4 linked regions of the Bombyx mori genome follow. The protein of the gene in region 2 binds, or shares a complex with, the protein of the main gene of each other region. Links are inferred from orthologs where the notes say so. Each region holds a gene or a part of one and is shown on either strand. Other genes may lie near its edges.

What was found.
Region 1: B9 domain-containing protein 1 (region 2) and transmembrane protein 17 share a complex: the UniProt entries of both Homo sapiens proteins name them as parts of the tectonic-like complex. The link is inferred for Bombyx mori from reciprocal best matches to the Homo sapiens genes B9D1 and TMEM17.
Region 3: B9 domain-containing protein 1 (region 2) and transmembrane protein 231 share a complex: the UniProt entries of both Homo sapiens proteins name them as parts of the tectonic-like complex. The link is inferred for Bombyx mori from reciprocal best matches to the Homo sapiens genes B9D1 and TMEM231.
Region 4: B9 domain-containing protein 1 (region 2) and transmembrane protein 216 share a complex: the UniProt entries of both Homo sapiens proteins name them as parts of the tectonic-like complex. The link is inferred for Bombyx mori from reciprocal best matches to the Homo sapiens genes B9D1 and TMEM216.

The regions. Positions count from the first base shown.
Region 1 is NC_085116.1:10,339,646-10,348,165, reverse strand, and holds the start of transmembrane protein 17, read right to left. Parts: upstream 5,777-8,520; 5' UTR 5,549-5,776; coding exon 5,414-5,548; exon of another isoform or gene 5,199-5,413; intron 5,100-5,198; coding exon 4,986-5,099; intron 4,641-4,985; coding exon 4,420-4,640; exon of another isoform or gene 3,226-4,419; coding exon 3,195-3,225; 3' UTR 3,141-3,194; exon of another isoform or gene 2,287-3,140; coding exon of another isoform or gene 2,113-2,286; 3' UTR 1,278-2,112; coding exon of another isoform or gene 1,130-1,277; 3' UTR 707-1,129; coding exon of another isoform or gene 594-706; 3' UTR 1-593. Other genes in the region: glycolipid transfer protein, read left to right, coding at 594-706, 1,130-1,277, 2,113-2,286. UniProt on the Homo sapiens protein: Transmembrane component of the tectonic-like complex, a complex localized at the transition zone of primary cilia and acting as a barrier that prevents diffusion of transmembrane proteins between the cilia and plasma membranes.
Region 2 is NC_085123.1:2,231,781-2,240,260, forward strand, and holds B9 domain-containing protein 1, read right to left. Parts: upstream 5,492-8,480; 5' UTR 5,289-5,491; coding exon 5,039-5,288; intron 3,793-5,038; coding exon 3,565-3,792; intron 2,698-3,564; coding exon 2,585-2,697; 3' UTR 2,422-2,584; downstream 1-2,421. Other genes in the region: uncharacterized protein CG5098, read left to right, coding at 6,189-6,263, 7,963-8,097, 8,318-8,418. UniProt on the Homo sapiens protein: Component of the tectonic-like complex, a complex localized at the transition zone of primary cilia and acting as a barrier that prevents diffusion of transmembrane proteins between the cilia and plasma membranes.
Region 3 is NC_085110.1:12,596,404-12,604,623, reverse strand, and holds transmembrane protein 231, read right to left. Parts: upstream 4,746-8,220; 5' UTR 4,727-4,745; coding exon 4,588-4,726; exon of another isoform or gene 4,544-4,587; coding exon of another isoform or gene 4,510-4,543; intron 4,413-4,509; coding exon 4,243-4,412; intron 4,070-4,242; coding exon 3,941-4,069; exon of another isoform or gene 3,896-3,940; intron 3,801-3,895; coding exon 3,572-3,800; intron 2,922-3,571; coding exon 2,662-2,921; 3' UTR 2,525-2,661; downstream 1-2,524. Other genes in the region: mitochondrial import inner membrane translocase subunit Tim21, read left to right, coding at 1,210-1,557, 1,776-1,958, 2,132-2,278. UniProt on the Homo sapiens protein: Transmembrane component of the tectonic-like complex, a complex localized at the transition zone of primary cilia and acting as a barrier that prevents diffusion of transmembrane proteins between the cilia and plasma membranes.
Region 4 is NC_085132.1:4,409,449-4,416,861, forward strand, and holds transmembrane protein 216, read right to left. Parts: upstream 3,729-7,413; 5' UTR 3,597-3,728; coding exon 3,353-3,596; intron 3,174-3,352; coding exon 2,980-3,173; 3' UTR 2,574-2,979; downstream 1-2,573. Other genes in the region: mRpS10 (mitochondrial ribosomal protein S10), read left to right, coding at 561-575, 657-898, 2,205-2,466. UniProt on the Homo sapiens protein: Part of the tectonic-like complex which is required for tissue-specific ciliogenesis and may regulate ciliary membrane composition.

The sequences.
Region 1 (8,520 bases), on a different chromosome or scaffold from region 2:
TATTTATAAACAAAGTATAATTTGGCTGAATTTTAGTTGAAGCTTTATTACTTTCTTCAACATTTTTCTAAATATTTCTATATAAGATTGGTCTTCTAAGTTTTTCCTTGGGTGTCCTTTTCTCTAAACCTCGATAAGACCTTACTTAGGTCATGCACTATAAGGCCATAAGGCTTTTGAATTTCTATGTGGATTTGATATTAATAGTTAGCTTATGCTCTTTGACTTTTTGACATTTTTTGTAAATAAGTATATTAAATAATGGACCTTGAAAAAACTAATAAAAAAACTTACTGTAGTTATTTTTTTTATTTCAAATTATTTGAATGTCATTGCTTTTCAAGATGTCATCAGTGGCATAAAGAAAGCAAAACCATTTTATTTCAGAATTGTTCTCAAGTAATTCCAGTATCTCAGATACTCTCAGATGAGGCTCCCTCCTTATGTCTCTTTATTGTCTTTGTCATTCTCTGACCCAGTATAAAACCCTGTTACCTATCTTCTGACTCCTGTTCAGTGGTTTCTGAAATACCTTAAGGTCCATACAATTGGTTTCTTTTAAATTAACAACATATGTATGTTTTGTTTTTCAGAGAATAAAAAAAAATTACAAATTTGATGAAAATTCCTGTTTACTGATGTTAATGCTTGAAGAAATTAATAATGGTAAAGCTCCTGTTACTGAAGGAGTTTTATGGCTTAACAGGTATGATAACAAGGTTTGAAAGCAGTAATGGGTAATGTTATTTATAAATAATATTCAATATAGTTAACCATTTTTACCTGAATAGAACCCCTTATTTCAATTCTAACTCTTCTTACTCTTTAGAACTTCTGCATTTATCCAGAGTGCGTTTCCAGAGAACCTTTTTTTGCCAGGAACCATCCAGCTCTGGAATGAACTCCCTTACATTGTGTTTCCTGAGCCCCTAGACATGTCCTTCGTCAAACGAGATTTGTAGAAAGTCCTGGGCAGTAGTCAGCAACTTGGCTGAATCCTTGGCATTGTTAATGTCTATGAGAGACAGTGACCACTACTTACCTCAGATGGGCTTTATTTTTATCTGCATATAACGATAAAATAAAAACACAAATTAATTATATATTATTGCAAAATGTTTTGTTTCAGAGCTCTGCTGTTTTTTGAATTAGTATTTGTAGATATACTAGAAAATTTACAGGCAAAAAAGGAGATAAATATGAAATATGTATTCACCAAAGCATATGAAGGTTCTGTAAAGAAGTATCACAGTTGGGTCACACAACAATTATTTATAGTAAGTCTATTATTTCGATGTGAAATGGCTATACGAATAAAACCGATTGCTTGCGTGGCAATGCATCGCCTTAAATGAATATACATGTATACTATATACATGTATAAACATACATACATAATATATATCAGTCTAGGGATGTTCGACGTCGGATAAACATCGATTATGGCATCGATAATGACATTGTTAGCAGGATATCAATATTTTTTGCAAATATTGATCAATTAATAAAACAACCATAAAATCACAACGTTTTTATAATTCAACAAAATGAAAAATAAATTAAAGATATCAGAGCACAGGTACATGTTATAAGTTCCAATACTTTTTGTTAATTGACTAAAAATAATAACTTGAAGTTCAGAACCTATCAACCTATTGTGCTGTTGATATAGGGTTGACCAGCCAACAGAATTTCGATATCGATATCGATGTCCGTGACATCGATGTTACGATGTTTTTTGTTTTAATATCGATGACCATCGAGCATCCCTACATCAGTCTATACATAGTAGTCTGTGTCTGTGTACAATGTGGCGAAGCATCGCCATGCGCAAGCCACTTTTTCTTAATATTTATATTTTATTTTTCACTATGCCTCATTAATTTCCTTTCGTAAACTATCCTTTTATCCATCTATAGCTGTACAAAATAATATCAATATTTCACATTTGCCAACCTTCCTGCAATGACTTTTTTTTTAAGTAAACTATAATAATAAATTACACCACATTCAAGGCGTAAATTGAAAAACATTTGAAAAATAAAATTCTAATTAAAGTCAATACTTATCAGTTTAAAAATAATACTTAAATTTTTTGTATTTCCATTTCAGTTCATCTGCAAGATGTCACCAACTTTTGCACAAATGATCAAATCTTTTGGAGTTGATGGTGATATCAAAAGTTTCGAGACAAAATTGGCGAGTTTCAATATCACATTGCACTTAAATCGCTGCAAGATAGACGACTTTTTTAAAGACAACAACTTATTTAGTGATACAGCTTAACCAACATTAAAATCTAACTGAAACCAAAAATAAATTATAGGATATTTTAAAGTACGTTAACGAGATATATTATACATATGATAATAAAAAAAGTTCAAGCACCAGTTACAATGATTCAATGGTTTGTAAGTTTTGATAGAAGTTAAATTATGTGCTAGCATTAAAACTATAAATATATCTTAAAATAATGAACATGAATAAGTGAAAAAAAGCTACAGAATTAGAGACACAGCAGAGGCATGAAGAGGTTTAATCACTTTTAAAAAGTAGTTTTAGATAATTGAATATTGACTTATTGGTTGTAACGGAATTTGCTAAAAGCAAAAAGTCAGGATGCTAAAATATACTTTTTACAGGAAAGGCAAAATAATGTGTAACCGAACGTAGATTCGAATACACCTAGCTTCTGAATTCCAATTACTTTAACAAATAAAGTCACTGCATTAGATGCAGCCAATACCCTTGTTACTCCACAGCTACTGAGAGCACTTGATTGCGAATTTCTTGCTCTGATAGCCTTTGTTTAGAATTAGAAGAATTAAGACCTGAGTGAGCTGATCATTCATAGTTGGAAAGGGGATTTAGGTAAATGTTAATCGGAATCGGAGAAAAAAATCTTAATGTGGACAAATAAAACTCCTGCAATTCAAGCTGCCTTAAAAGTAAGTACTTTGGCACTGAAAGATTAAAACGATGTCTTACGGTTTACTATGGCAACATTTCAAAGGAGGAGTTAAATGCAGTCTTCATCACAAATACTGAGTTATAGAACATAATTTCCGTTAAAAATTTTGTTCGTGGAAAGTTAACATCACTAGTCAGATTGTTCCAAAATGAATTTGAAAATGTCGAACCTTTACATTTAAACACTGTACTTTGTAGATCCATTCAACTGTGTCAAAATTATATCATTTTTCCCTTGAAGTTTTCCCAGTGTTTCTACAAATAAAAAACCAGTGCCTTGAAGAGTTTAATGGCAAATACAAATATTTAAATATGAATGTTGAAAACCATTTTAATGAAATCTTATATATTTTGATACCAATAATAAATTTAATAAATATGAGTCAGAGTATTGATTTACTTTTATATGAACGGAGAAGTTTTCTGTATTCCATTTTGTTTGAAGTAGTTACTTAAGAAAAAGTGCAATCATTATTTTAAAGTTATGACTAATATTTTTTGTGTGCTTGACGCTATTTTTTAAAGTTGAATGTAATTTATGACAGTATTGTTTAAAAAAAACTTAATTTACTTTTGTAATTAACTATTATATAACAAGCTATGTTAAATAATTATATTTATGTTTATTATGCCAAAGCTTTGCTAAATAAAGCAATTTTTATTAAATATCTTAAGATATGGTTCCAGCATCAAATGTATTATGACAATAAAGTCTTTTCATTTAAAGTATGTTTCATTTAAAAAACTTTGGTCATTATGCCATAATGACTGATCTGTTTTGTCATGGTTAAAATTAGCATGAACGCACATTCATCCTGGTTTTAAGTGGTTATTGTAAGTATATCAACCACATATTAAATGAGAGTGCTTTGAAGATTGAATTTTCATTGCATTGATACAACAGCTGTTCTATCTGTTCAAAAGAGTACATGCAAGAGTAGTTATCATACCCATCAGTGCCCTAAAGCATGAATTAGGCTATTAGGGAAAAAAAATTTTTTTTTTTTTTTATTAAGCATATGGCATGACCCACCTGATGGGCATAAGTAGCCTCTATCACTCATGGATATCAGCAATGACAGGGAAAACAAAGTTGCTGCCTATGTTTTGTTTGTTTTAAAAACTCAACCCATTAAGGTTTATTTTCTAATTTTAATAAATGAAAAATGTATACTGCGTTTACCTTTGTTTCAAATTAAGAAATCTAAAGTTATGAAATATATAGATATCCTAAGTCTCTTTGCAAAAGAAATTTGATTTTCGATAAAAAAAAGGACATAACAAAAAATGCTTTTTCACATTGACAATGCTATTATTTAATGTTTTGTATTTATCATACCATGATTAGTGCTCATACTAATTACAGTCTGATACTATATAAATTATGCTGCATTCTACCATAATATTACTACAATATTACCTTATATTTTTACTACTCTACTAACTCACTGATTCTGAGTTGTGGACAGGTAAATGCTTTTAGCTAGAGAAGAAGCTTGTTTTAATGCTCTAAACCCGTACACAATCTCAATAATAGTAGTCATCCAAAACATAGCATGCAGCGTTATTTCTGTTGGTGTACTCAGCAAATATGGATGAAAAAGGAAGAAGCTAACTAGTGGCATTTGCATTAAAATTGTCAACATGAGGAATACAGCTAATTCTGGAACCTAAAAAAAAATAGTATATTACAAATTATTATTTTGACTAAATTTTCCTTTTGGGTCCGTCGATTTGGAAGTTCACAATATCTTTGTAGCTAGTACTCATAAATAAAAAGCTTTTTACAAAATTGCAAGACTCACGGTTTACGAGATATAATTTTTTAAAGTTCCCATAAATATTAGTATTTTTAAACAATTTTCTTCCTATTACATTCTGTTATTTATACTATTGTTTTTGTAAATCTCTGCCACTAAGGTATTAATTAATATTCAATGACTTAATGTTAAGGACTGGCAAATGTTTTTATTTTGTCACATAATTAGTAGTAATAACTATGGCTAATTACTTACTCTGCAAGACAAATTTCCATATCTACCAAGGTACAATCGTACAATTTCTATTCCAGATAGTAGCAAAAAAACTGTAGCTGATAAGTATTTTGTCAGGTGGCTAAGTTGATCAAACTGCAAAAATAATTTTTAAAACGCTTAATTGTTTAATTTTTTACACAATGCATATTTCTGTTTGGAAAGTTACTTCAATTTAGTTACTTTGTTCCTCACTTTTTGAAAAATAGTAGTGTTTTATTTTATCACCAGATCTGAATTAAAGGAATGCCATTGTATTGCTGATACATCACTGTCAGCAAATTAATTTAAGTCCTATGAGATCAGGGAGCCCCAAATCTTTTAACTGAGATCTCGTATTACGTTTCCTATTCATAATAAATAGGATAATTTCTAAGTACAGTGAACACAGCTTAGATTTTAAAGTATACCTTCATAAACAAGAAAAACCCTGTCACAAAACACCAGAGAACAAATAGATTTATTTTAAAGTACAGACATTTCTGCAAACGTAGCATAGTTTTATACTCCATTGAAATGTTTAAATGTACAAAAGTACAAATCATAAATTTTTAGTCAAAGTTTATTTATTAGTTATCCACATAGGATTTATTGAACTTTAACAAAATGCCGTTTATTCATTTAATACTTTATCAGCTTTACTCATAGATTATACACTTAATATATTTGCTTTACTCTTTGTTATTGTTTTGTTTTGCACATTTTACAGTTTGTTTGCGTTTTTTTAATTCGTTCACTGGATACGCAAATGTATAGCCCATTAAACAAAAATTGAAATAAAGGCTGATAAGTATTTAAAATGTAAAATGAAACGAAATAAAATAAAATACGTCATTACTTTACATGTTTTTATTCTTTTATTGCCTTAGTAGGCCAACGAGCATATAGCTCACCTGATGATAAGTGGTTACCGTCGCTCATGAACGTCAGCAATGCCAGGGGCATAGCCAAGTCGCTATCAATCATTGAATAGGTAGGTGTAGGTCCTCCAGGCCGCGTTTGATGAAGGACATATCGTAGCGCTCGAGAAACACCGTGGAGGAGAGTTCATTCTAGAGCCAGGTGGTACACAGCTGAATGATCTCTGGAAACGCACTATCGATGAACACAGCGGTTCCAGATTGTATGGATGAAATCTGCTCCGGTGGCGGGAAGTTTTTTTTTATTGCTTAGATGGGGGGCCAAGCTCATGGCCCACCTGTTGTTAAGAGGTTTCAAGCGATCCGTGAGAATGAGATTATCGACAATCTGAGTGGTCTGTCTTTGTATGGGGTCAAATGGTACCTACTACCTGGTAGCCTTGGCCCAGTGATGGGCCTCACGTACTCCACGTGAAGCTGGACTTGTGCTTTGTAAAGCGCAAGTCCAGGCGTGAAATTGAGGACTTCGAACATTTTAGAGGCTAATTTGGCTTTATCTTCCAAATGACTCCAATATCGTACACCGCTCGAAATATCGAACCTAAGAATATACTCGCAGAAAGCTGCAGGCAGGGATACTCAGGGAATATACGAAAGTTGTAAGGATGTATGGCGTGACACCTTCGCCTTTCCAGTTGGTTAAATGGAACTATTATTAATACTACCTGACGATAAGGAGAGAGGCGGGAACCTTCAAAAAATTTGGGACGGAACTTGAGAAGAGGGCCAATAAAAAAATTCATATCCTTTTTAATTAATTTAATTTGATATTCTGTAGATATTGTAGCATATTTTAGTTTATAACTGTATATATGTTTAGTTTATAATTGTATATTTTAGTACTTTAGCGTAGATAGTATGGAGTTGGAGGCGGGAACGGATCCCCCGGATCCGAATATTACTGAGGAGACAACTGATACGACTAACTCAAGGTTTAGCCAACCAATATTTTTCTGTGATGAGTTCGACCTTTCCAATGTATCTGAATTTGTCAACGTTAAATCGAAGAAATCCCAAAAAAAGAAACAACTTGTTAATTCTTTTAAACCAAAGATCTCGGACAAACAACTTTCGTTGCGCCCGCTGCAGCAGGCTTTGGCGGGAAATCTTGCAAATAACGTAAATAAGCTTATAGTGCCTCCTCGCCAAATTGTACAGACCTCACCAGAGCCTACTTCAGCGAGTCCTTCTATGACACCATCTGAGACCCCAATGGCCGACTCTGTTTACAGAAAAAAATACACTGAACAGGATCCTGGCCCATATATGGTCCATGTTACTTTAATCTCAGATTCTAATAGTACTACATCACTGCACCCACTTAAATTTGGAAATTTTCTAAAGAAAAGCAATCTTGGTAATATATTACAGGATGGAATTAAACGAGTAGGTCGTAATCGCCTGGCAATAACTTTTAAAACACATAGTGATGCCAATATTTTCATATCCAACATGTCTATGAATCCATTGTATAATGTAGTGATTCCTACATATAATATATGTAAAATGGGTTTGATAAAGGGTATCCCTCAGGAGTGGACTCATGAGGACATTGTAGATAATCTGCAAATCCCAGAAGGCTATGGACAAATTATCAAATCCCGTAGATTAAACAGGAAGTCTGTCAACTCAGATGGAACTTCATGGATTCCTACTCAAACTGTGGTCTTGACTTTTGACGGACAGTCTCTTCCCTCTAGAGTGTATTCCTTTTTTTCAAGTATTCCAGTTGAACAGTATATTTATCCAACGGTACAATGTTTCAATTGTTGTCGCTTTGGACACACTCGTGTTCAATGCAGGAGCAAACCTAGATGTAATAAATGTGGTGGAGAGCACAGCGGACTGGCTTGTAATACTGAGACTTTTTCTTGTGTTAACTGTAGAGGTGAACATATGGCTACAAACAAATCTTGCCCTGAGTTTAGTAGACAAACAAATATTAAAAAACATATGTCTCAAAACCTCATATCATACCAAGAAGCCTCTAAATTGTTTCCTATTGTAAAGAAATCATATTCACAAATAACATCATCTATTCCACTATCTGCCCAAAGTTTAAATGATGTAGATAGTTCAAATTCTGTCTCTTACAAAAAAACTGTTATAAAGAAGCCTAAACAGGCATCTATTTTAAATAAGGGTTATGACAAATCAGAATATAAATCATTGATCCGCAGCATTTCATTTGATGAGTCTCAAGGTAAACTAGGTTCCGCTTTGCAATCCAACAAAGAAAAGGATACACAGTTGCCATCTTCTGACACACTAAATAAATTGTTATCCACACTTATAAATATTATTGCTAATTCAGAACTACCAGAACACGTTGCTCTTTCACTTATAAATAATATTTCACTATCAATTTTCAATATTTTTAAATATGGACAGAGTCCTCCAGTGGAACTGTAAAAGTATAGTTCCTAAAAAACATGAAATTATATCTTTAATTAATTCACATAATATTTTTTTACTAGCCATATCAGAAACTTGGTTAGTTCCAGGTTCCAATTTCCGTATGGCCGGTTTTAATATTCTCAGACATGATAGACATGATGGGTATGGTGGCACAGCCCTTTTAATTCGTAATAATCACA
Region 2 (8,480 bases):
AATAATTACAATACAAAATTTAGGACACTGTCGATGGGAGCCATTAAAATTAAAACATTGTTTATAAATCTATACTTTTTGATTATTATTATTTTTATGTTATAAAAATTTTTTTTATTGCTTAAATGGGTGGACGAGCTCACAGCCCACCTGATGTTAAGTGGTTACTGGAGCCCATAGACAACCGCAACGTAAATGCGCAACCTACCTATGAGATATAAGTTCTAAGGTCTCAAGTATAGTTACAACGGCTGCCCCGCCCTTCAAACCGAAACGTATTACTGCTTCACGGCAGAAATAGGCGGGGCGGTGGTACCTACCCGTGCGGACTCACAAGAGGTCCTACCACCAGTAATTACGCAAATTATAATTTTGCGGGTTTCATTTTCATTACACGATATTATTATTCCTTCACCGTGGAAGTCAATCGTGAGCATTTGTTGAGTAGGTATTTCATAAGAAAAATTGGTACCCGCCTGAGATTCGAACACCGTTGCATCGCTCAACACAAATACATCGGACGTCTTATCCGTTAGGCCACGACGACTTCAAAACTAAGGAGGTTTTGTTAGCCATCCAGTTGTGATATGTGAGATAACTTTAACAATTTAGGAATTTTTATGCACCTAGGACATTTGAGGCGTTTGTCGGGCTGATTTTCTTTGGTACCCAACTGACAAACTAAACTTGAACACTTCGAAAAATATTTTGAATATAAGTAATGTTTAAATAAAATGATTTATGTATCAATGAAACGATATGAAAGAGGTTCTCTTGAAATCACATAGCGAAAGGACAACGTAAGTTTTACATTTAGTCCGTAAGTTATTTCACCTCACACACCGTAATCCGCATTACGTTCTTCTCCAATGCGTTTCAATTAAGAATCTGCACGGACCTGCGCCATATTGTGACGTCATAGCTGTCAAATCGAAAAAAAAATAGGTAACTTCAGTAAAAAAGATAAAAGGTAACGTAACGTCAGTAAAAGATAAAGGTAACGTCAGTAAAACAGGTATGTACATACATCGCGGCATCCGTTGCATATCCTAGTGGTGGGAGGGAGCTATGAACCTCCTGACAATAAACATCGTAATACGTGCTCCGAAACATCGTTCTCATTTCATTCGTATTCGAAACAAATCTTGATGACGTCAAAGTCAACAAAAAGTTCCGCGATTTTCAAATTCGATGCGCAAAACATTGAATGGATCATTTAAAAAGAAGAAAAAAAAAAAGACAACTTCCGAATTTTGGCGCACAGAATCGGCCCGTTGAGTTTCCCGCCGAATCTTCTTAGCGGGTCATAATTATGAACCGGTGATAGATGTATTCGCAAGCCGAGTGACCCCGAACGGTTAGAGCTCCCGCGGAGAAACTCGATAGTTCGTTGTGTGTTTACGTCCATAACACAAAAAAGTTCAAATAACTTTTCAGAAGAGTGTTTGCTTCTTAATTAATTTATATTTTGGTCTTGAATTATTTGTGGAAGTCCAGAGAAGGTTTAAAACATGAAAATGCTCGGAATTAAATATAAATAACAAATTTGTTTTCCCTTTGATGTGCCCCCCGTCGGACGGATCTTTTGTTTGTTTTAAGTTTATTTTATGCAAAAGTTTAGGTCTTTTATTTATCGATTGAGGCACTACGAAATCTGCCGGGTGAGCTAGTTATGAATAAAACTAGATTTCTAGAGATATTTTTGGTAACTAAGACCTAATTAAGACTAAGACTTTTTTAATCCCTTATTAAGGTCAAGTCTTATTTTTATTTTAATATGAAAATGATATTATGAATTGAAATGAAGGTGATTTGATTGAAAGATAATCTTAGTAAAATGGTGGTCATTTACTGAGACTTTTTCATTGATCTTTTTGGAGGATCCCGAGAAGTTACGTCCAGCGGCTTTGTTTCATTTTCCCACATTTGTGCACTTTCACAGTTAATAAACCACCATTATTACACATTTAGACGAAATAAAACAAATTACACAACTTCACTCATCGCGTTCCCGCCAAAAACTCCGATTTTTAGAAAAGCGAAAAAATAAAGGAAACTCTACGACTGTTTTTATCAATTTATTATGGTTATTATGTGCAGGTTGTGTAGACTATGTTTATGGTGTAAATATTCTCATGAATGAAGAAACTCTTAGAGGGTAAAACAGGGAGACCAGCTTCCAAAATTACCTTAGTTATTAATAAACTAAAATTACAACTTTTTTGTTGTATTTAAACTTTAAACCAATTATATTTTTATTTGTAAATAAAACGTTGATACCTACATTTTCTTATTGAAGTAATGAAATGAGCACTACCTAACTATGTGCCTTATATTAAAACAAACAGTTTTTTTTGTAATAAATTCAAGCAAAATAGATAAATCAGTGCCTAAATAACATAAAAATAATAAAGTAAACAATTAGTAGTGAAATCTTATTTTATTCATCCATAAAGTTAAGTCCGTTTCATTTTTGTTTAAATTAAAAACTCAAATAATTATCTCGCTAGGTTGAGCATTAAAAAACATATTTCTTATTATGATTGTCCGTGATATTGGTTTTTTAGTTTATTTGTTATAGATTTTATGAATATTTAGTGTAGGCTGGCGGTTCATTGTCGTAGCCCAGTTTTCTGAGGTCCTTGGACACCATCGTGGCCGACACCGTCACGGTTCCTGACGATTGTGTTCTTAACACTGGAATACAATGCAATGCACGTTAACTTGTTTTAGATTTTCGAAAAACGCATAAAAGTCGTTGCAACATGAATTCAATATCAATATCTTCTACGTAACTTTTTAATAAAATATTACTTTTTATAAGATTAAAATGTAACTTTGTAATAAAATTTATTAAAACCATTGATTGCTGAGAGATATTTCTTTAGCACTCTCATTTTTACCAATAACATAATGAAACACAGGGACAAATTACAGAACGGTACAACGTTAGTAGAGCCGGTCGGGTCAGACGTATTCGCGATTAACCCTTTGCACTCGATAGGTGAGTATCGCTCAACACATGACTTAATAACAAACGACAGTAAAAACAGTGTGTTTGGTGGGAGGTTTTTAACGTTCTCGATATCGTAAAAGTTAACTCAAAATTGTATGGAATTGGAACATTTGCCTACGTTTGCCGCTAGGGGCGCTGTTCCAACTGCATACTTGAGTTAACTTTTACGATATCGAGAACGTTAAAAACGAGTTTTACACTTTAGTCGTCTTGGCCTAAAGGATAAGACGTCCGGTGCATTCGTATGTAGCGATGCACCAGTGTTCGAATCCCGCAGGCGGGTACCAATTTTTCTAATGAAATATGTACTTAACAAATGTTCACGATTGACTTCCACGGTGAAAGAATAACATCGTGTAATAAAAATCAAACCCGCAAAATTATAATTTGCGTAACTACTGGTGGTAGGACCTCTTATGAGACCGCACGGGTAGGTACCACCTCCCTGCCTATTCCAGCCGTGAAGCAGTAATGCATTTCGGTTTGAAAGGGTTACAAAGGGTTAAAATGTGTATGGTATAAATAAATAGATCAGTAAATAATCGTACTGTAATTATCCTTTCCGTCGGCCAACATCTTCGGGTCGTTCAACTCTGGATACCGGCCGGTGAGCCAGGCTACCCACTCGCCGAGTACCGTGGCTGGCTTCGGACGTAGGAGCGGTGACGTCACGCATCGCCTACCCGCTGTCGGGGGCAGTAGCACAACAGCGTACCCCCGCAATGTATCTCCGGTTATGAAATTACGGGCTTTCACGGTTATAACAAGTTGGGGCCCTGGCAAAACATTCATATTTCAAGAAAACGACACAAACTTTTGTTTTAGACAAAACATGGTTTTCTTTTTAAATATGAAGGATTACTGGTGGCCCGGAGGCCTGTCTAATTTCACCAGGATAGGTGGTTGAGCAAAGGCTCAGCCAGGAGGGGTGGGATTTGCTAACAACTACCTGAGCGCTTCCAAAGGCAACCTAACAACTCTAGAGCTGCTGCTTCGTGAATGAATCTACTACCGGATCGGAATCGCGGCCCACTGAGAAGATCCGACGAGAAACTCAGCGAGCTGATGTTTAGGTTGGGTTGCACGACGAACTCTGCCGAATTCGACGATTACGGTTACCGGGATTCCTAAGCCTGGTCCTAGAGCTGAAGGCATCAATGCAAGAGCTATTGGATCTGATAGATCCGTACAGACGTGTCTAAAGTATTTTTTTCTGGTGGTAGAACCTCTTATGTGTCCGCACGGGTAGGTACCACCACCCCGCCTATTTCTGCCGTGAATCAATAATGCGTTTTAGTTTGAAGGGTGGGGCAGCCGTTGTAACTATACTGAAACCTTACAACTCATATCTCAAGGTGGGTGGCGCATTTACGTTGTAGATGTCTATGGGTTCCAGTAACCACTTAACACCAGGTGGGCTGTGAGCATTTCCACCCACCCATCTAAGTAATAAAAAAAACATGGTAGGAGATTAAATGATTGTCATCGGATACCGGTCCTAATGGTGACAACAACATGCTTGCCGTCAGCCACCCTAAGATACAAGGTTTTAATGTTGTGCGATGGTCACTACCCACAAATTGCAACGCATGACTGCTTAGTCGTAAATATGGGCAGGGCGGACTGACGCAGGAAGAACTAATATAATGAATTGTACACGTTCAATGAATCATGTAGGGTAGATTTGATGATATTTTTGATTAGACGCTCCCGTGCCACAATTAAGCTTAAAGGATTATATCGAACAACGTAGAGACATTGCAATCGATAAAGGTCTTGGTAAATGCGACCGGATGATTGGCTTTCAGGTGGACAGGGTGAGCTGCGAGGAAGGTGTCGCTTCGCCCTTCTCTATCGTCTGAATTCCGTCTCATTCATAACTCGAACGCGTGTTGACGTGAGAGACAGGGTATTTTAGTTAATTCAACTCCGAATTGTACACGGCACCCACCCACCCAACTACCAATCACCAAATCGTAAAAGACTTTGTATCAAAAAAGCATAAAAGTCCACTTTACTTACACCCATACACATTAGTGCTTCCGAAAGTCATTTCTATAGGCATGTTGATAACAACTCTCTCTGGGTTGATCCCGGGGCGTGACAATTGACTCGTTCCTGAAGGAAGACCCGTGATAGGCTCCCAATCCGGACCCCATACCACTTCATACTGAATATAAAGATATTCATCGAATATTCCGGAAGGAAACGTTACGTGTTCAATTTGACCGCTAAAAGACACTAAGAATTTGGTTATCTCGGTACTTTTCATTGATCTATTTTATTTTCTATAATGTTCAATACTCATATACATATATTATTATGTACGAAGTTTCAACCAGTTTCAAGTTCGTGACAAGTCCGTTCAAAAGTATTCAAAACAAAGCAGCTGTTGCCATAGAAACGACCTTGACGGTGTTGCCAATCAATAGCCACACTGGTGCGTGACCGATAAAGATTTAAAGAGAGGAGCAAGAACTAAATAGAAATGTATGAAGAAGTCTTTAGATTTTTCAAAAAAAAATACACTTGAGGTAAAAATAAAAATATAGCTTCCGGTTTTTTTTAACCAAAGACAATAGAGTACAACGTTTCCGCTGTGCTGTTTGGTCGACACTTTTTAAAATTTATTCACAAGATGGCGCTGTCGTTGCTTTCAAATCCAAATCGGCCACCATTGTGAAGGCGAATCTATCACTTACTTGAATTATTTCAGTGATTTTAGTTGTATTTACAGCAGAAACTTGACTTTAAACTGCTTTGATTAAAGTCACTATCTTATTGTTGAGCAAATGCTAGCCTATATTTTACCGGGAAGTGTTTATTTTCAAAATCAAAATGCGTTCAAAATGTCACGCGAAGTGAGCATCGGAATCGTGAACACCATACCATGCACTAAATAAATTTCGTTTTCTTTAAACTGTATGTATGTTGAGTGTAAAAAAGTAGCTATCGCTATCCGTGATTCATACGGCATGTTAAGTGTGAACGAAGTTTGGGATTGCACACATGAGATTGTTTCAGAAGTTTCTGTACACGTCGTAAGCGATCTGAGTTACGCGGGCGAAGGCTTCAAAGTTGCCGGCATCATTATGGTGGACTGAGACAGTGTCTGTTGACGACATAGTGCTGAATAGGAATTGTCGAAATCGGAGCGACTGCCCCGTGCATCATGTCTGGCGGATCGCAACACAACCCGAATGGTCGGCAATCACAATTGGGCCCCGGTTGGAGCCCCCTTCAGGTGGTGCTTATTATTCATTAATTACCGCAACTAACTTATCGAGTTTCACAATACTCGACGGAAGTTACATTATATCCTTACGTTAGAAATGTGAATGATAAATGCTGTTTATTAATTATTTTTCTATGAACGTGTCTTTGTGCGTGTCGTGAATCGTTGAAGTAGGTATGTAGTACACACCAATCAGCTGTTTGTATTGACAGGTGTAAATCTGTTGCAATTTCATAATATAACAACAATAAATTTAAACGAAGGTCAATTGGAAAATTGTGATACTGCACACAATAATCTCACTTTCAGCTCATAATTGTTAAATGTTAAGTAAAGAATATAAAATTGGAGGTTACTTTATTTTGAGAAACTTAAGTTACTAGTCATATTTCCTATATATTTTACTGTTGTTGTTTTTTTTAATCAAGATCAATCTACACAATTTGTGACAAATGGTAGCCTAAAATTATTAACATAAGTAACTAAGTTCGTTAATTTAATGAGAACAAGAAGAAAGTGCTTTATGGAATTATTTGAAATGCTCCTGTCATCTCCATTTGCACGACCCATTGTAGAGTTTGTACCTAATTTATGGAACAGCTGTGCTTTCTATGGTGCACTTCTAGAGAACATTATTGCCATATAGTATCTTATTTTGAACAAACTATTAACTACTCTCCATGCTGTTTCTCTCGCACTGTGCTGTCTTTCTTCAAAGCAGGTTTTAAAACCTTCAGGGAGACTCAACAACCTGCCAGTACTCCTACTGTTATTAATATCCATGAGTGCAATGCTGATCACTCACAAATTAGGTGTGCCATTTCCCTTAAATTAAAACTATCAAATATGATTTTTTTTTAAAACTGAATAAAAAAAACAAGTGTATTGCTAACACAGAATCTCCTTTTACTGCAATAATATATTCATATTACCAGTTTCTGTAACTATATGAAATATTTACTTTGACAATGTTGTTGAGTCAAGTTCAAATATTGATTTCTTATATCTAAAAGAAAATTAAAATACTGATAACGTTATATGTGCCTAACATTCAACTGAATTTTGTCTGAAACAGCTCTATGTTTTAAGTAATATGTTTAAAAAAAAACTCCTAATCATCTGTTTAAATACTTTAAGAAACTTAAAGTTATATGTAAGACTTCAAACTGTGTCTACAAATTTAGACAATATATGAACAAGACAGTTGTTCTAATGAAAACAAATGTAAAAGTTACTATTTTATTGATTCCTGTTCTTCTATTTCTCATGTTGCTCTACCTACATTAAATAGCTGTTATTGTTTTCCAGTAAATTTGAGACACAGGACTTGCCCTATATTTAGGGCGAGAACACTATTTCCTCTATCCATTCCCCTTATTCTTCCACGAGCATTATTCATGTTGCAAGCCCTTTGAGGATAGAGGTAAGATAGCCACTGTCCCAAAACCACTTTACCCTCATGGTTTCAGGTGGGTAGGTCACCTTTAAAATCAAATGTCGATTTAGTTCTATCTGTAATAAATAAATAATACTTAATAAGATTCAGAAAAATAAATTTACTAAACTAAAATAATGAGTGACTGACAAAGTAGAAAAATATAAGATGTGATAACAGAAGCTCTTGATTATAGTTGATTGTTACAAATGAATTGTTTGTCTATGTTATTCCTTTCTTTTAAAACAATATAAGAAGAAAAATTAAAAAAAACAGTTGCAGATGGCGAATCTCCTAGCGAGAGCCCCTCAGGCGCACATGGCGTCTGATCGTGGAGTGACGTGGCACACACCGACGCCACCACCACACCTGTACCATGTGCCGGCGCCTTCGCCCCCTGATCCGCTACAGGTACATGACCTAATTAAAAGCACCAACCTCAATTCTGACCTAATTAAAAGCACCCACCTCAATTCTGATTGTCATTTACAGAACCTGTACAACATATTAAAGCCCAGTATTTAAAAAATCCGTATTGATCATTCATAATAGCAATGCTACAAAGAACACCTTATTTATTGTGAAATTACATTATAACAATAATCTAATTTGTAATATTTAAATGTTTCAGGCCATGAAGAATGCGGGCAGCAACTCTGTATTCCGACACACAGCTACCCCTCCGGAGATGTTCAGACACACACCAACCCCACCAGATAAACATCTCATTAGGTTGGTGTGGAACCAATAATAACAATACAGACGGGAGAAAGCGGACATGTCCTAACTTGCAT
Region 3 (8,220 bases), on a different chromosome or scaffold from region 2:
TGTTCGTGGAACTAAACAGTTCCGCGAACATGTTTACTGGAACTAGTTCCGACACTCAAAAGAACGATGTCATGTTCAATCCAGTTCCGAACATGATTAGCGCACGTCTACAACGGACTAAGACAAAAAACTTAATTGCAATGTTCAAGTTCAAACCAGTGATCTAAAATGATTTTAATCATAGATTATACACTTCTCTGATTGAAATAAAAACAGATTTTGACATTTACAGCGGTTTTTTTTAAGGAATTTTTGGACCTGGTAACTAAGATCTTTAAGTCATGTCTTATTATTATTAAAATTCTTATTTTATGAAAAATGATAATATGGAGTGAAATGAAATGAAATGAAGATTAATTTGAAACATTAATCAACTGGGATTAAATTAAATGAAATGAGATGATATGGGATGATATATAATCTCAGTAAAATGGTGGTCATTTACTGTGACTTTTTCAATGGACTTTTTGGAAGATTCCCACATTTATGCACTTTCACAGATACTAAACAGCTATTAAGTACACATTGAAACCTGAAGAAACACTAAATAGACAAAATAAAACAAATCACACAACTTCACTCTTCGCGTTCCCGCCAAAAAGTCTATTAATATTATAAATTAGTTACCTACTACATATAGAGTGGCTAATCGAAGAGTTTTCTCTATGTTATTGGATATATCCATTTATAAATAGAGAATGGTTTTACTTTTTTAAATTGATGCTTCTTCAGATTTTAACGAGCAACATTAGTGGCTTATAGGCTTTGTAGTATCGGTGAAAAAGCACAAATATAGAAAAATTAAATCGATTTGCTTAACATAGCTTTTTCCGAAAAGTCCAATGACGTTTCTACCGTTCAGTAAAATACTGAGTATTTTATTTTATCTCATCTGAACTCCTTTAAATTCTATTTCATTTCTTTTAAAATTTTTACTTAAGTAGTGTAATATTTTATATTTTTTATTGTTTTTAACATTTTCTTTTTCGTGTAATAAAAGTGGCTGTTTCGCTAAGTTTCATTTGCCTGACTAATTAACAAATAAGATAGTTTGATTGATAGCAATGATAGCTACGTAAACTTCAAAATTAAGTAAATAACTAAGGTTATTTTTATCAACTTTATAGGAAATTTTTGACGATGAAATAACAATAAGGAGGTTGAGTTTTTTTTAACCATTCTGTTAAATAGCACACTTAAAAGTGAACGATGACTTTAATATCTAAATTTTTACCGCTTTTACGGAACGGTAGCACCACTGAAAAGATTCCTGCCATATTACAAACTAAATTTAGAACTAATACCCGTTACTTCTCTTCTGAAAAAGAAAGTGGTTTGACTAAATCCAAAAGCAAAGAAAGTGCTTCCCATGTATCTACAGATGTAAGACCCTTAGGAGAAAAAATCAAAGAAACTACAAAAACTGTTTCTTACACCGGCGTAATACTTCTCGGTGTCGGAGTCACAGGTGTGATTTTCTTTTACGTTTTTCGAGAACTGTTCTCAAGTAACAGTCCGAACAGCATTTACTCAGAAGCTCTTGAGAAGTGCAAACAGGTAAATTACCTTGTGTGAAAGAAATCTTGTTTACATTATGATAAATTTACAGATTATTTAATAAACAAGGTCAAATTTTTCTATATCATTAATCATTAGCATTGCATAATGCAGAATGCAGTACAGTAGTCAGTATTAAAGTAAGTAATGAACAGGGGAAACAAACACTATTTAAAGTATTGTTTACCAAGTATTTATTAAATTATTGTCGATTGCAGGATCCTAGAGTAGAAGATGCTCTTGGTGCACCAATAAAAGGTTATGGAGAAGAAACAACTAGGAGAAGACGTACCCATGTCAGTCATGCAGTATATGAAAAAGATGGAGTGAAACATATGAGAATGAGATTCTATATTAAAGGGATAAGAAATAAAGGTGTTGTTGAACTTGATATGAAACAAGTAAGTTCTGTTTAAATAGAAATGTGTTTAACAACTTAAAAGTTCAAATAACACCATACATCTGAATAATTTGTATACACCTCATCAATTTCTTATAATCTCTGTTTAAAATTTTCTATTTTAATAAATTCATTTAAAATCTTTCCAATTCACCAGTACACTTGTTTTTTCAGAATGATTATGGAAACTATATGTGCAGATATTTGCTGGTACAACTTGATGACTACAGTGGAAAAACATTTATAATTGAGGACAACCGAGCTGAATTAGATAATACCAAACCTGATATCGCATTTCCAACCTTAACTCTCACTCAGTGATATAAAATTAACTATGTAACATGTAAATAGTAAAGTAGATATCGAATAAATGATTAGCAAAATAAAATTGTTTCGTTTCATATTATTATGTAAAGTTTTAGTTTAAAAAATAATAAATATAGTGAGCACTTTCATATTGAAATCTTTTAAATATATAGAATACTATACCTTCTTCTGACACCATAAGAATAGTTTTGGAATATGAATCTTATTAATTAAATTCTTTGAGCCAATGAAACTTAATGCTTATAATATCATTTTATTGCAAACATTAAAACATGTTTATCCTTATTAATAATTAAAGTGAATTTTACAGTGAAGACTAGAAATTGGCACAAATCAATTATTTCGCAGTACAATTTTATAGATCTTACATAAGTTCGTCATTCAAATGTTTTCCAAGATTGTACTTTCCATGACATGAGAAGTCGATTGGTAAATATAAATTCCTTAACTTTATTGAAGAACCAATGGAATATCACTACAAAAGAGAGATATTGAGGCCAAGCCCACTTAAACTCTTCTAGTATACTAGGAGTGTATCTTATTTGCATCTCTGGAATTCTTAGATGAACTTGAACAGTCATAGAATCTGTCTGGCCATTGTAGGTTCTAGAATTTATCGTTCTGACTTCTGTGGTAACTGAAAATAGTTTATTTTTTGGTTATGAATGTAGTTGAATAAATATGCTGTAGGTTTACTTATATCAGTGGTTACTGGACTCTGGTAACATTAGAACTTGAATGCTACTCTGCAGATCACATTAGGCTGACGTATCAATAAAGGCAAACCCACACTTCAAACTGAAATTAATGGCAGCAGCAGAACCACAGAAATAATAGCAGAACTGTATAACTGATTTGTAACTGGTATGGACTTTCAATGCGCCCGAATGGTATAGTAATTTGGGATAACCAGGAAGTTTAGATCTACTGTGGATAGATTATGAAAAATAATAGACAAACTATTATCAAGTAACTTTCTTTGGCCTATTATCTAGCTGTTGAAAGAATGAATACCTGATTAGTTTTGATCCAATGGACAGTGGAGCATTATGTTTTTTATTAAGTAACTTGAGTTTATTTGCCTTACTAAAGAAGGATTATCATTGATAATCAAATCTTTATTAACTCAGGATAAATGTTACAATTTTGTGTTAAAATTACTGTAGGTTTATGGCCTTCTGTCTGTGGCTGCACAACAATAGCCATTATTTTTGTCTTCAATGCTGTTACCAATATTAAAATATGAATAAGCACAAAATGTATATTTGTAAAAATAAATAATCTTACCTTCTCTATGAAAATAATCAGACAGATAATGATCAATAGACATGTAACTTTCCCATTTTTCAATTTCAAATAAAGATCTGTTATATTTCGTATCTTGATTAAACCATTCACAAGGTAAGTGGGTGGTTTGATAAAAATTTAGATCTCCATGAAAAATTAATTCTGATGGTGGTATTACAAACTCTTTGGTAATCAATGCCAAGCTCTGCATTTGTAAAGGGCATATTGTCTGCAAGAAGAAAACAAAAGGATTCTATTAAAGTATTTGTTCCATATTTAAAGCACCTATTTATAAAATATAAATAAACAGAAAAGATTTAGTACCTTTTTTTATTAAATATCTAAAATGTCAAAAATAGTTAAAAATACCTTCAGCTGAAAATCAAGAGATAAAATTAATAAAATAGAAGACACAGTTCTGTCTGGTGGTATATTTAGGTGAAATTTAATATACAGCTCATCCTTTTTGCCATCTCCAGTGAAATCATTTTCTTGAACCTGGAAATACATGTTTTTAATAATTTTATTCATCAAAAACTGTAGTTGGTCATGTTATCAGTATAAAATGTACTACACAGTGTATTTAGTCTTATTTCATAACAAACTCATTGTCTATATAGTTATGTAATTTGTATTTACACAGTACAATTCTTTCGATAAAAATTCATTACCTGCATTTCTGCACATGATTCAGAGCTTTCTTCATTATCATTACCAAACAATCCAATTTCTGTACAAAGTATGGGTTTACTGGGATCCTCAGTTTCGGCTATTAGTACATACTCATACGTAAAATGAACAGTTGGCTGTTCATAAAAACTGTGATATTTCACCCAGAGCCCTGTAAAAATACATATTTGTATTACGATCTTATATTTCGATATCTATTCGGTAATTACTGGCTATTTCAAATAATTTAATTTTAACGATAATAGGACCGTTTCTGTATACTGTTAAGTATTTTCTGGACATGGTTCACTCAGCTGATTTTAGCAAGGCTAAATTGGAGTTCTAACCTCTACTTTTCTGAGCTATAATAAAAGGCAGTATAATATTTAAGATAGACGTAAAAAGAGTAAAGAACATGGCTTTGGAAAGGAAGGTACTTTTATACTGTATTTCGACATTTGAACTAAACAATTTGTACAAGCTCATTTTAAAATATAAAATTTACAGTGTTTTCGGTGTACTAATATGCGTAAAATGTTAAATATCAATAGCATTGACCTGCAAAACAAACCGTTGCTAAGCAACGACTTTTTTAGGGCAGAGGGTTTTTCTGAATTATTTTACAATTAAATGCAAACTTTAAATTCCTGAATCAAAAATATATATGTACTCTAGAAGCGTTAAATTAAGGAATATAAAGAAATAATGATTCAACATCAACTGGTCAAAGGGCGAGCTATAGCTCTCGTTTACATATATAGAATTTTTCTACTCTTTGATTCTAGGATGGTTTATGATCATTTTAGCAATCATAAATCTTTACTGGTCGTGGAGCTTCGTGTGAGTCCATACTTACATCACCCTGCCTATTTCTACCGCGAAAAAGTAATGCATTCCAGTTTGAAGAGTGGGGCAGCCGTTATACTATAACATTGAGACATCAACCTCATATCTCAAGGAGGGTGGGACGCTATTAATGTCGTGATGTCTATGGGCTCCCGTAACCACTCAACTCCAGCTAAACAGTAAGCACGTTCACCAAATTATGAAAGATTAGATTTTTTCTGAGAACGGAGTCCAAAATTCTTCAATATTGATACGAGTTCTCTTCAGAGACACTCAGTAAGAAGTAGATCCGACCTTACGCTTCTAGAGTCAGAATAAATAGGTGTTTATCGTTTATTTTTAAAGAATAAAATATATATTTTATTATTGTAAAATTTTCTACATGCACCATAGCTTAATGTTAAGACGCCCAGGGTTGTGGTTGAAGGCATTTGTGTTGTCTATTGGCCTAAACGACCATTTAATCTTACGTGAACTCATTCATTCATCTACGAAAGTGAACTATCTTTTTCAGCAAGGATCCTGGCGTAGACAAAGGGAGGGAGGCGGGTTTGGTTCATAATGCCGGCCATTCAAACGGACACTTCGTTTCAAGGTGCATATGAATTAAGCTTTTCCGCCAATACAGTATTTAATATACTATTAAATATATACCTATTAGCTTTCTAAATGTTCCGGTACCCTAGTGAACTTTTATGTACTTTTAATATTTAAGTGCACTATGAAAGTCCCGCGTTTTGATGTTTTGAATTCACTGACATCTACTCACTGTAACTTATATTGGTATTATATTCTAATATTAACTCTCAATGACGGGTAATAAGATGGTCAATTTAATATGGAAAATACTTAATAATAAGTAACAAGACAAAAATTACGAGTCTTGAACAATTCTAAATTCACCATCTATGGCAATGGGATAGAGGAAGAAAAATTGTCGTGACAACAAAATAAATGTTACTGCATGCCTACATGTTTAAATATTCAAAAAATTAAATCATTTATGGCTTTTTACACAAGAAATGCTAAGATAATAGGTATCTCGCTTAAATTCTAGTGCCTAAGATATTGTGGTTCCCTCCCTTTGGTGACTTGGAGACCAGCGAGGGACACCGAAGAAGAGGATCTCAACTGCTCTGCATGGATCTTGCGAAATAGCAATCTGGTCTTCGGCAACCCGTGGGGATTTAACGATTGTATATTATAAATTTTTATTTATTTTAATCAATAAACCTTATTAAAGGCACGATAGGAATGCAAATCCTACTTATTATTATCGCAAGAAGCCAATTTTTCCAATTTAAAGATTAGGCTGTGTTGTTTATTGGAGGCGATTATTACGAAAGAAACAAAAATAGACAAATCGAAAAAATCTTGATTTTCTTGTCGTACGCAACTAACCATTACGTAAACAAATGAACCGAATTGATTTAGGTATTTTTGGATGGTAGCTCCTACTTAAATTTTACGAAATTCGTAGCTAATGAACGTTAATGATATTTGGAATTATTATCAAGCACAGTTAATTGCTGAGCCACCGTTTCTTTTTTTGTTTCAATATTTAAAATTGAAAACATTTAATTTTTTTTTATTGGCTTGATGGGTGGACGAGCTCACAGCCCACCTGGTGTTAAGTGGTTATTGGAGCCCATAAACTTCTACGACGTAAATGCGCCAGCCACCTTGATATATAAGTTCTAAGGTCTCAAGGATAGTTATAACGGCTGCCCCACCCTTCAAACCGAAACGCATTACTGCTTCACGGCAGAAATAGGCAGGGTGGTGGTACCTACCCGTGCGGACTCACAAGAGGTCCTACCACCAGTAAAAATTCATTGAATTCAGATAATACTGATGTAATTGTAGTCTTGTGGGCGACATAGGATTTAGTACTAAAAGTGTAATACGCTTTGGCTTGCGGTTGCTTATTACGCAATTTTTTAAAACATTTTCTCGGCGGAAGACAATAACAAAATTCCTTAAACTTACGGAAATAAAAATAACAGTATAATAATATGTACTAGGTTATAAACTTGCTAAAATGAATAAGTTGATTCAACTATAATTATGTACAAACGAGACAAAACCTTGCTCAGTAACCGAGCCTGTCCATCCGCCCTTTTGTTTTCTCACAAAACAAAAGCAACACATTTTAATTCTATGGAACGTGTACTTCCTAACTTGTTCTTCTGCATGAACAATATTTTGAAAATAGGCATTGAACTTAAAGTGAAAAAAATACTTTATGAAGCAATAGAGAATAACAATTTAATTATCAAATTTTTTTTTGATGAGTTTGATTCAATAATTTATCAAATTTTTAACGTAAACTTTTTCCCTTCGACATTGTTTATTACTTACTATAGGTAGGCGGACCTACTTACCTAGGCGGTACTGAAAATTTCGGGAATTAACGAAGTGACACAACATTACTATTTAAAAATGTATTTATTGCTTTTCGAAGTATTCTCCGCGAAATTTGACACATTTTTCCAAACGATGGAACCAATCATTGAAGCAACCATTCCATTCGGAAGTTGGGGTCTCCAAAATGGCCGTTTTGTAGGCGTCCACAGCTTCTTCAGGTGATGAAAATCTCTGTCCACGGAATTTATTCTTTATTTTAGGGAAAGTATAGAAATCCTTAGGGCTTAGGTCAGGGCTGTACGGCGGATGGTCTAATAATTCTATGTTTTCTTGCTCTAAAAACTCTTTTGTTCTGTGCGCGGTGTGAGAACTCGCATTGTCGTGATGGAGGATGATGCGGCGATTGCAGTTCTCTTTACGGAGTTCAGAAACGACCTGTGGCGAACAAATACTAGCATACCATTCTGCATTAACCGTTCTTTGTCCCTCAAGAGGAATAGTCGTAACATGGCCGGTTTTGGAGACAAACGTGGCCACCATTTTTTTTGCAACACTCCGTAAACGAACAATTTTTGTTGGCTTTAACTCATTTTCGAACACCCAAACTCGTGACTGGTTTTTTGTTTCGGGTTCGTACGCGTATATCCAGGATTCGTCACCTGATACAATGTTGTATACAGCATTTGAGGATCTTGAGTGGAATCTTTCGAGAGTTCTGACGCACCAAGTAACGCGAGCCGCTTTTTGCTCTTCACAGAGCGAATGCG
Region 4 (7,413 bases), on a different chromosome or scaffold from region 2:
ACTAAACATCAAATACAGACTAAATAGATATCATAGAAAATACTCATATTTGACAGAGATAGGAGATTAGGAATTTGAAACATGTAAATTCGGAAATCAACAATCTAATGTAAAAACCCATATATCTCGGCGATTAGAAAATAGCAAATGAAACCCTGTGAATCATAGACACAAAAACTTTGAGTGACTTTGTTTACTTCAAGTTTGTAATTTTACATAGTATACTTTTTGTGGCCTTAAATGTAATGTATTTTTTTTATTGTATTATACTTCTTCCACCGATAATCCTCAACGCTGTCGCTGAGGGTCGTGGCCTCCTTTAATAACTTTGTAACTAATCAAAACGCTTATTGTAGTATGTAAGGCCATGCTTCCTTTGCTTGCGCAGCTGGACTAAAATAAAAAGTTTTATTTTTAGGTTACGTTCATAGATTATACACTTAATATATTTGAGGTTACGTTCTGTAAAAATATTATGAAAGTGGAAGTAAATTAAATTATTAAATATTTCTACAGGACAAAATTAAGATAATACTATAGAAATTAAGTTATATTTAAATATGAATGCAATAAGAGTGAGTTAAAAAGCATACGCGTCAGAACAATCTAATTTACTTGAATCGTTATTACATTGAAAATAATGGGTTAATTTTCAGAGTATCTGGCGTTTAACTCCTGTTAGAGGTGTTACAATACCAAATTATGCAATTCGATCACTATCCGCCAATACAACGGCGCTACCTCATGCTGTTGAACCAGTGGTTCCTCCTGTGGAATTGGACAAGTTATATAAAAGAGTAGAATTAGAAATGCGCGGTATAGACCCGGCTGTGCTACTCAGCTATTCATGGTTTTGCGTTGCTGCTGCTTCACATCTTGGTATCGAAGTCACTAAGAGGTATGTTAGAAATACGAGTCTGTTCTTTTAATGAGAGAATAGCTCTTTGATTTTCATGATTTATAAAATTAAAAATCATGAAAACAGGTTTTATACATGCTTTTATCCCAAAAGTTAAAAGAGTTAAATTTTCCTTTATGGTCCATTGTCTACCTTGACGATTTCCTCAATTTGTATGGAAACAATGTTTTTTTCTTGCAAACCATAAGTTTCCGCAACCTGAAATTTTGCAAAAAGCTTTTTATTTATGAGTATTATATACAAAAAAATTGTGAACTTCCAAATTGATCAACCATAAAGGAAAGTCTAGCCAGTTAACGTTTTATGTTCACACTAATAACATGAAATACGAAAGAGAAAAATAGTTATTATATTTAAATCCTTTTAGAAAATTGCAATAAGGTTAAAGTCTGTCAAGGTTTAATTGACAGAAATAAACACATTAAATACCAATCAACTGTAAATAGATGAAACAAAGAGTCTTCCAAAATTAGTGTACTTCTTTGAATATATCAAAATTATTATTTTGAAGATGAATTTGATTTTGCTTCCTATAAAATATTTGATGCCTTCATTATTTTATTGTATTGCCATATATTATACCTATAGAGATATATATAGGAATGCATAGTATAGCTTTGTTACATTTTTATGTTATCTGTGTTCTGTCAGCCCAGAATAGCATCAGAACATCTCTTACTTTTGTTATCATAGTAGGTTTTTACGGGATTTGCTTAAGAATAGGCAACAGCAGTTTTGAGTGTGGCGGGTAGCCATCATACAACGCAAGATAATTGACAGATGCCTGAATCTCGCTTACGACATTTTCAAGATAAAGCGCATATATACAAGTTCCGAACAACAACATTCGGACCGTCGGTCTACCGAGCAATATCATCCGCTCGGTGGAAGATCTTTCCTTTCGTCGTTAAGCCTTCCCCAAACCCCAAATTTCCAAATGAGTGTATATACTTGTGTATATATGTGATCTCCAACCAGTTGAAAGCTTGTATGGATAGGTACGACAATCCTGCCCATTTCAGCTGAGAAATAATAATGTGCTCTGCTTTGAAAGGTAGGACGGCCAATAGAATCGAAATTTATTGAGATTTCTATGGGCTCTGGTTATCACTTAAAACTACATGTACCTTATACCTGTACTAGTAATGAAATAATGAAATATAGGGAGATAGAGGCATTTGAAGATGATTTATTACAATTTAAAATTTTACCCTTCATATTAAAGATTTAAATTTAAGTTATTAGTGCTAAAAGAGATACTACTAGTTAGTTTTATTTTTTTCAGTTGGGCACTAAGGAAAGCAGAGAAAGAAAGGCACACACTTTTAAAATGTGTACACATTTACAAGAAACACAAAGTGCAGTATGAAATTCGTACATACTTCAGGTTTATACATATGCAGAGGCTCACTGGATCTACGTGCGACACATATTTGGAATATATCGAACGGAATCTGCCAGAAGGTTGTGCGTTGAAAGTTACAAAAATTGAATGTCAAAAGTTACCTGAACATTTAGTACCGCCTAAGAAAGAAAGCGAAGAGTGAATTGCCATTGTAATAATTTAGAATAAAAATAAATTAGTTAAATGTTATTTAGTTTAATACTTTATTTTTCACCAACTCTAATTTATAAATATTAAAAATCAATAAAATTAAATTAAATATATTTAATTAACAGACACATAAAGATCAAAAGCCAACTTTGAACATTAAAGTTAAAAAAACAGTCTTAATTTACATGTTGCTCTTGATTTTATTCAAAGCGGTATAATATAATAAGATGATCACAGTAATTCTAATGCAGTTTTCACAAAGGGGATTACTAATGTTACAAATGGCTAGAAACATAAAAATGCAGACTAGTAAATATAATGTTACCAGATTAACAACAAAGTAAGGAGAATCATAAGGCATGAGATTATATTTTTTCACATGTTTCTAACTTTTAGTAATCCTAGTTTACTACACAAGAGTAATTACAATGATCAAATTGAATTAATGCTATATTTAATAAAAATATGGAATGTTTGCAATATTTGAGGTTCAGGTTTTCATTATTTAATCAAATTGTTGATTTTTACATACAGTAAAAATAAATAAGATTGCAAAAGCAAACTCGAGAGCATGGAACATTAACATGACGGCACACCAGATGTATTCCAACCGAAGTATGTAAGTTTGATAAATTAGAAAATAACATACTCCTACAGCAGAGGGAATCGTCAATAGCACTGACAGAAAGACCGGTATTTCTGTAACAAAAACATTGTTAACATATTATGGTGAAAAGTAACATTGAACGAAACGAAAATAGTTTCTATTTTAATTTACTTAAGACACAAAATATTTTTTTGCGATTTAGTACATATTCCGTACAACAACGAATCTTGAAATATATTTTTGCAGAATATTGAATATATACGATACTTACTTTTGCTTGCTAAGTTTCCTCTACGCCCCAAAAAGATCCTAATCATCTCTACAAAGCATAGGGCGCTAAATATTCCGGCTTCTGTTAATAGAGCGTTTTCTGGATACGAAACATTTATAGCCTTCAATATCCCCATTGCGACTTCACAAACGATAAACATTCCTAAATAAAAACTGTTCAAATACAGTAATATCTCATAAGCCAAACTCGAATTAACGTTTGTTACTTTCGACATTTTTTCCATATTTTATAAAATTGTACGAATGTATTGAAAAGTTTCTAAATTGAGAGGAGGCTGTTTCGAGGTTTCGTATGTAATAAAAATCAATGTTTTTGTTTACACTTTTTGAAATTTGTAGTAGTAGTAGTTTTATTTTTTCAATTGGAAGGGCACAGGTATCATACCATACAGCCAAATCTTTTATATATTAAAAAAATTAAAAAATATATTATTAATATGAAATGAAAAGAAACGAAGTTGATTGATTTGGAACATTAATCAATTGGCAATTGGCAAATTAAATGAAATGATATGAGATAATATAGAATGAAATATATTGTCAGTAAAATGGTGGTTAATTACTGAGACTTTCTCAATGGAATTTTCGGAGAATCCTGAAAAGTAACGTCCAGCGACTTTTTTTCATTTTCCCACATTTGTGCACTTCCACAGATACTAAACAGTTAATAAATCACCGCTGTTACATATTTAAACCTAAAGAAACATTAGATATATAGACAATACTGAGATAATACATGAGATTGACAATACAACTACATGAGAAATACATGAGACTGACAATATAACTATATTGAGACCTTAGAACTTATATCTCAAGGTGGGTGGCGCATTTACGTTGTAGATGTGGATAGTCGTAGATAGATTATGGGCTCCAGTAACCACTTAACTCCAGGTGGGCTGTGAACTCGTTCACCCATCTAAGCTATAAATAAAAAAAAGCTCTTTGCTATATTATAGCGCCCAGTAAATATTTGACTACTACAAGGCTTTTTTCTGTGTTATTTACACTAAAACTGTGTTTTTATTTAGAGAAGTCTAAAAGCTCACGGTTCGTCTGGTGTAAAGTGGATACCAAACACCAAACATCATAAGAATAATGGCGAACCCACCTTTAGACATGATGTCAGAGTTTCAATTTTATTATATAACAGCTGATCCATCCTTCAAATGCATAACTGCTTTGCGGTAGAAATGGGCAGGATCATTATTATATCTACTCATACGGGCTTCCAATACGTCCTACTACCTGTAACCTACCAGTAAATTATCAATATTTTTATTGCTTCGAGATGGACAGACTAACTTCAACCCGACTCTTCATACTGGAACACCTTACTGGCTTGCGACAGATATAGCTATACAATACGCTTTGAGAACAATAAATGCGGTTTGATGAATACAGTATGCTGGTTAAGAAATCGCATCTCGGCCTCAAATAGTGCTTTAAGACAAAAAAAGAAATGGTCATTTATAGTTTATTATTTAATTTAATTTTATAAATACCTAACACTTTTTCACTTTTTTTTTAATTAACAAATTTAATCAGTATTTTATACGGGTCACTCACATTCACTCGAATACCCAAACCCGCAAGTGTAGGACGACATTTGCAAATGAATAAGCAAAGTTTTCGCTGCATTTGTGGTTTTCCAAGCTGTGTCGGTTTTTTAACAGACATCAAAGCGCGCGAACCGCGATCCTTCGCGAAGCCTCCCACACATTCGTGTGACCAGTTGCGCCCAGGATTGCGAAGGTAGCGGACGTTTCGCTATTTTCATAGATCGTGACGTCTACTGTGTAGCGTATCTTCATCAAAAGAAATTCCATAAAAACAGCATGGCTGTTAATGATGTCTGGGAAAGAATTCAAAACTCTTTTTCTCTTCAATGTTCTATTGACGAATTAAAAAGGAGGAGAAATTCGTGAGACATTCGTAAACAAGTGTAGGAGGAAGCGCAAACGGGTTCGCAAATTGAGTACCGAACCCATTTGCACAGCCGCTAAGTTTGCGAATGAATGTTTGACGGCCCTTCACATGCGCGCAAACATTCGTACAATGTACGAATATTTGCGCGCATGTGAGTGGCCGGCATTAGTAGCTTTGAATGATTGCGGAGTACTGTAAAATGTGGTACAAGAGATGATTATTAAGAACAAAAAAGCTTTCTTTTTGAATTGTGACACTTTAAGGATAAAACAAACTAATATTTTAGGAAATATTGTTTAATATCGGGAGACAAACATTTTAATAAAACAATAATCAACAACACAAAAAAGTTGATATTATATATCTATGGGCTTTTTGAAGCATAGGTCTTTGGCCTGGCGTAAAATATGGGGTAAGTTCGCTCTGCTGGGGACTTCCAATATGTATTAAGTGTATTTATTATCTATGCTTCCAACGTTAACCACAGGGAAAAGCTAATAAAATGCCAACGTGCCATGGTAAGAAGCATGCTAGGGTAAAAAATCAAAGATAGAGTCAGGAACGTAGACATAAGAACAAGAACGAAACTCACAGACATTCTCACCCGGATAGACATCCAAAAATGGAGATGGGCTGGACATATGCTACGCCACCCCACTAACAAATAGAGCAAACAAGTCACCCTCTGGCAACCAAGAGACGGCAAAAGAAGCAGGGGTCGTCAAATCAGGAGATGGGAAGATGACTTGAAGCAGACAGCGGGACCATTCTGGCTGAGAGTAGCAAGGGATAGGACCCATTGGAAGGAATTGGAGGAGGCCTATGCCAAAAGGCACACCGAACTTAGGGACCTCTTGTAACCCTATGTTTAGGAATAAAAAAAGCTATTATTATTATTATAATAAATAATAATACTCCTCGGAATTGTAAACCTGTGCTTACAATACGTTGACTTTTATAAAATTCAACTCGCCTAATTCGAAGATCCTTCCCAAGGAGTTCTCCATTTCAGGCACAAGCTTTGGGCTCCAAGAGAGACTGATCGCCGAAATCTCGAGCATTCCTCGCGCTATTCATGTATGCTGTCAATTTATAGCATGTCATTGATTTATAGATTCATTGGCGGGAATGCGATCAGCGAATTGTTTTATTGCGTTAAATAAGTGTTACTTCGAGTTTAAGCATGTAATAAGCTTACCAACTGTTTAGCATCAGGAAAATGAACAGAAAAATGCAACGAGTTGCCGGACTTGACTTCTCGAATTCATCCATAAAGTTCAGTAAATTTCTACGGAGTAAATTTCTACCATTGACTGGGAAATAATTTCGTCTCGTCCAATCTCGTTTCATTGATGATGTTATTCAGAAAAATCAAAAATTTTATAAAAAATAACTTTTTATTCTTCAAGCAGCACGACATTTTTGATTAATTAAATGAGTTTTAATTAAAAAACTAAACAGTTTTGTTACTAACCGTTGAAAAACATTATCATAATAACTAAACAGGAAAGGTTGTTGTTACGATAAACAGAAAAACACATGATTTATAACTTTCTGCTTTATGTTTAAGCAGTTTTAGCAAATAAATTGTTAATTGGTAGGCATACATGCACATTTATTTTACAAATAATGCATATTTATTGCTTCATAACGTGGATGGAATACACATTAAAATATAAGTACTATGTTACGATTACGATTTCTAAGTATAGTTTAGTTATGTAGACAGATAGGTAACTTAAGAAGCGGTTCCTTATTAGGGCGTCCATACTTGCTTGTGTTCATAATATATTTTTCCTAAGTTGATTATCTTTGAATTTATTTATTCTGTTAGAATACAGACTTCATTTATTAATACGCTTTTATTAGCTTCAGACGTATATATGTTTGTAACGGAATCTTTGAGCTTGATTTTGACCCCCTTCAAAACGTCGGATTAACTCGAATACTTGTTAAGGACCGATGACAATGCAATATTAAAAAAAAATGAAAAAAAATATATTGAAAAAGTTGAAATTCAACTAAAAAATGAAAAATAAATAATAGTTTAAAAAAAATTACAAAATACGCTTTTATAGAAAATCCAACTAAAAATAGTGTAAGAAAAAAGGA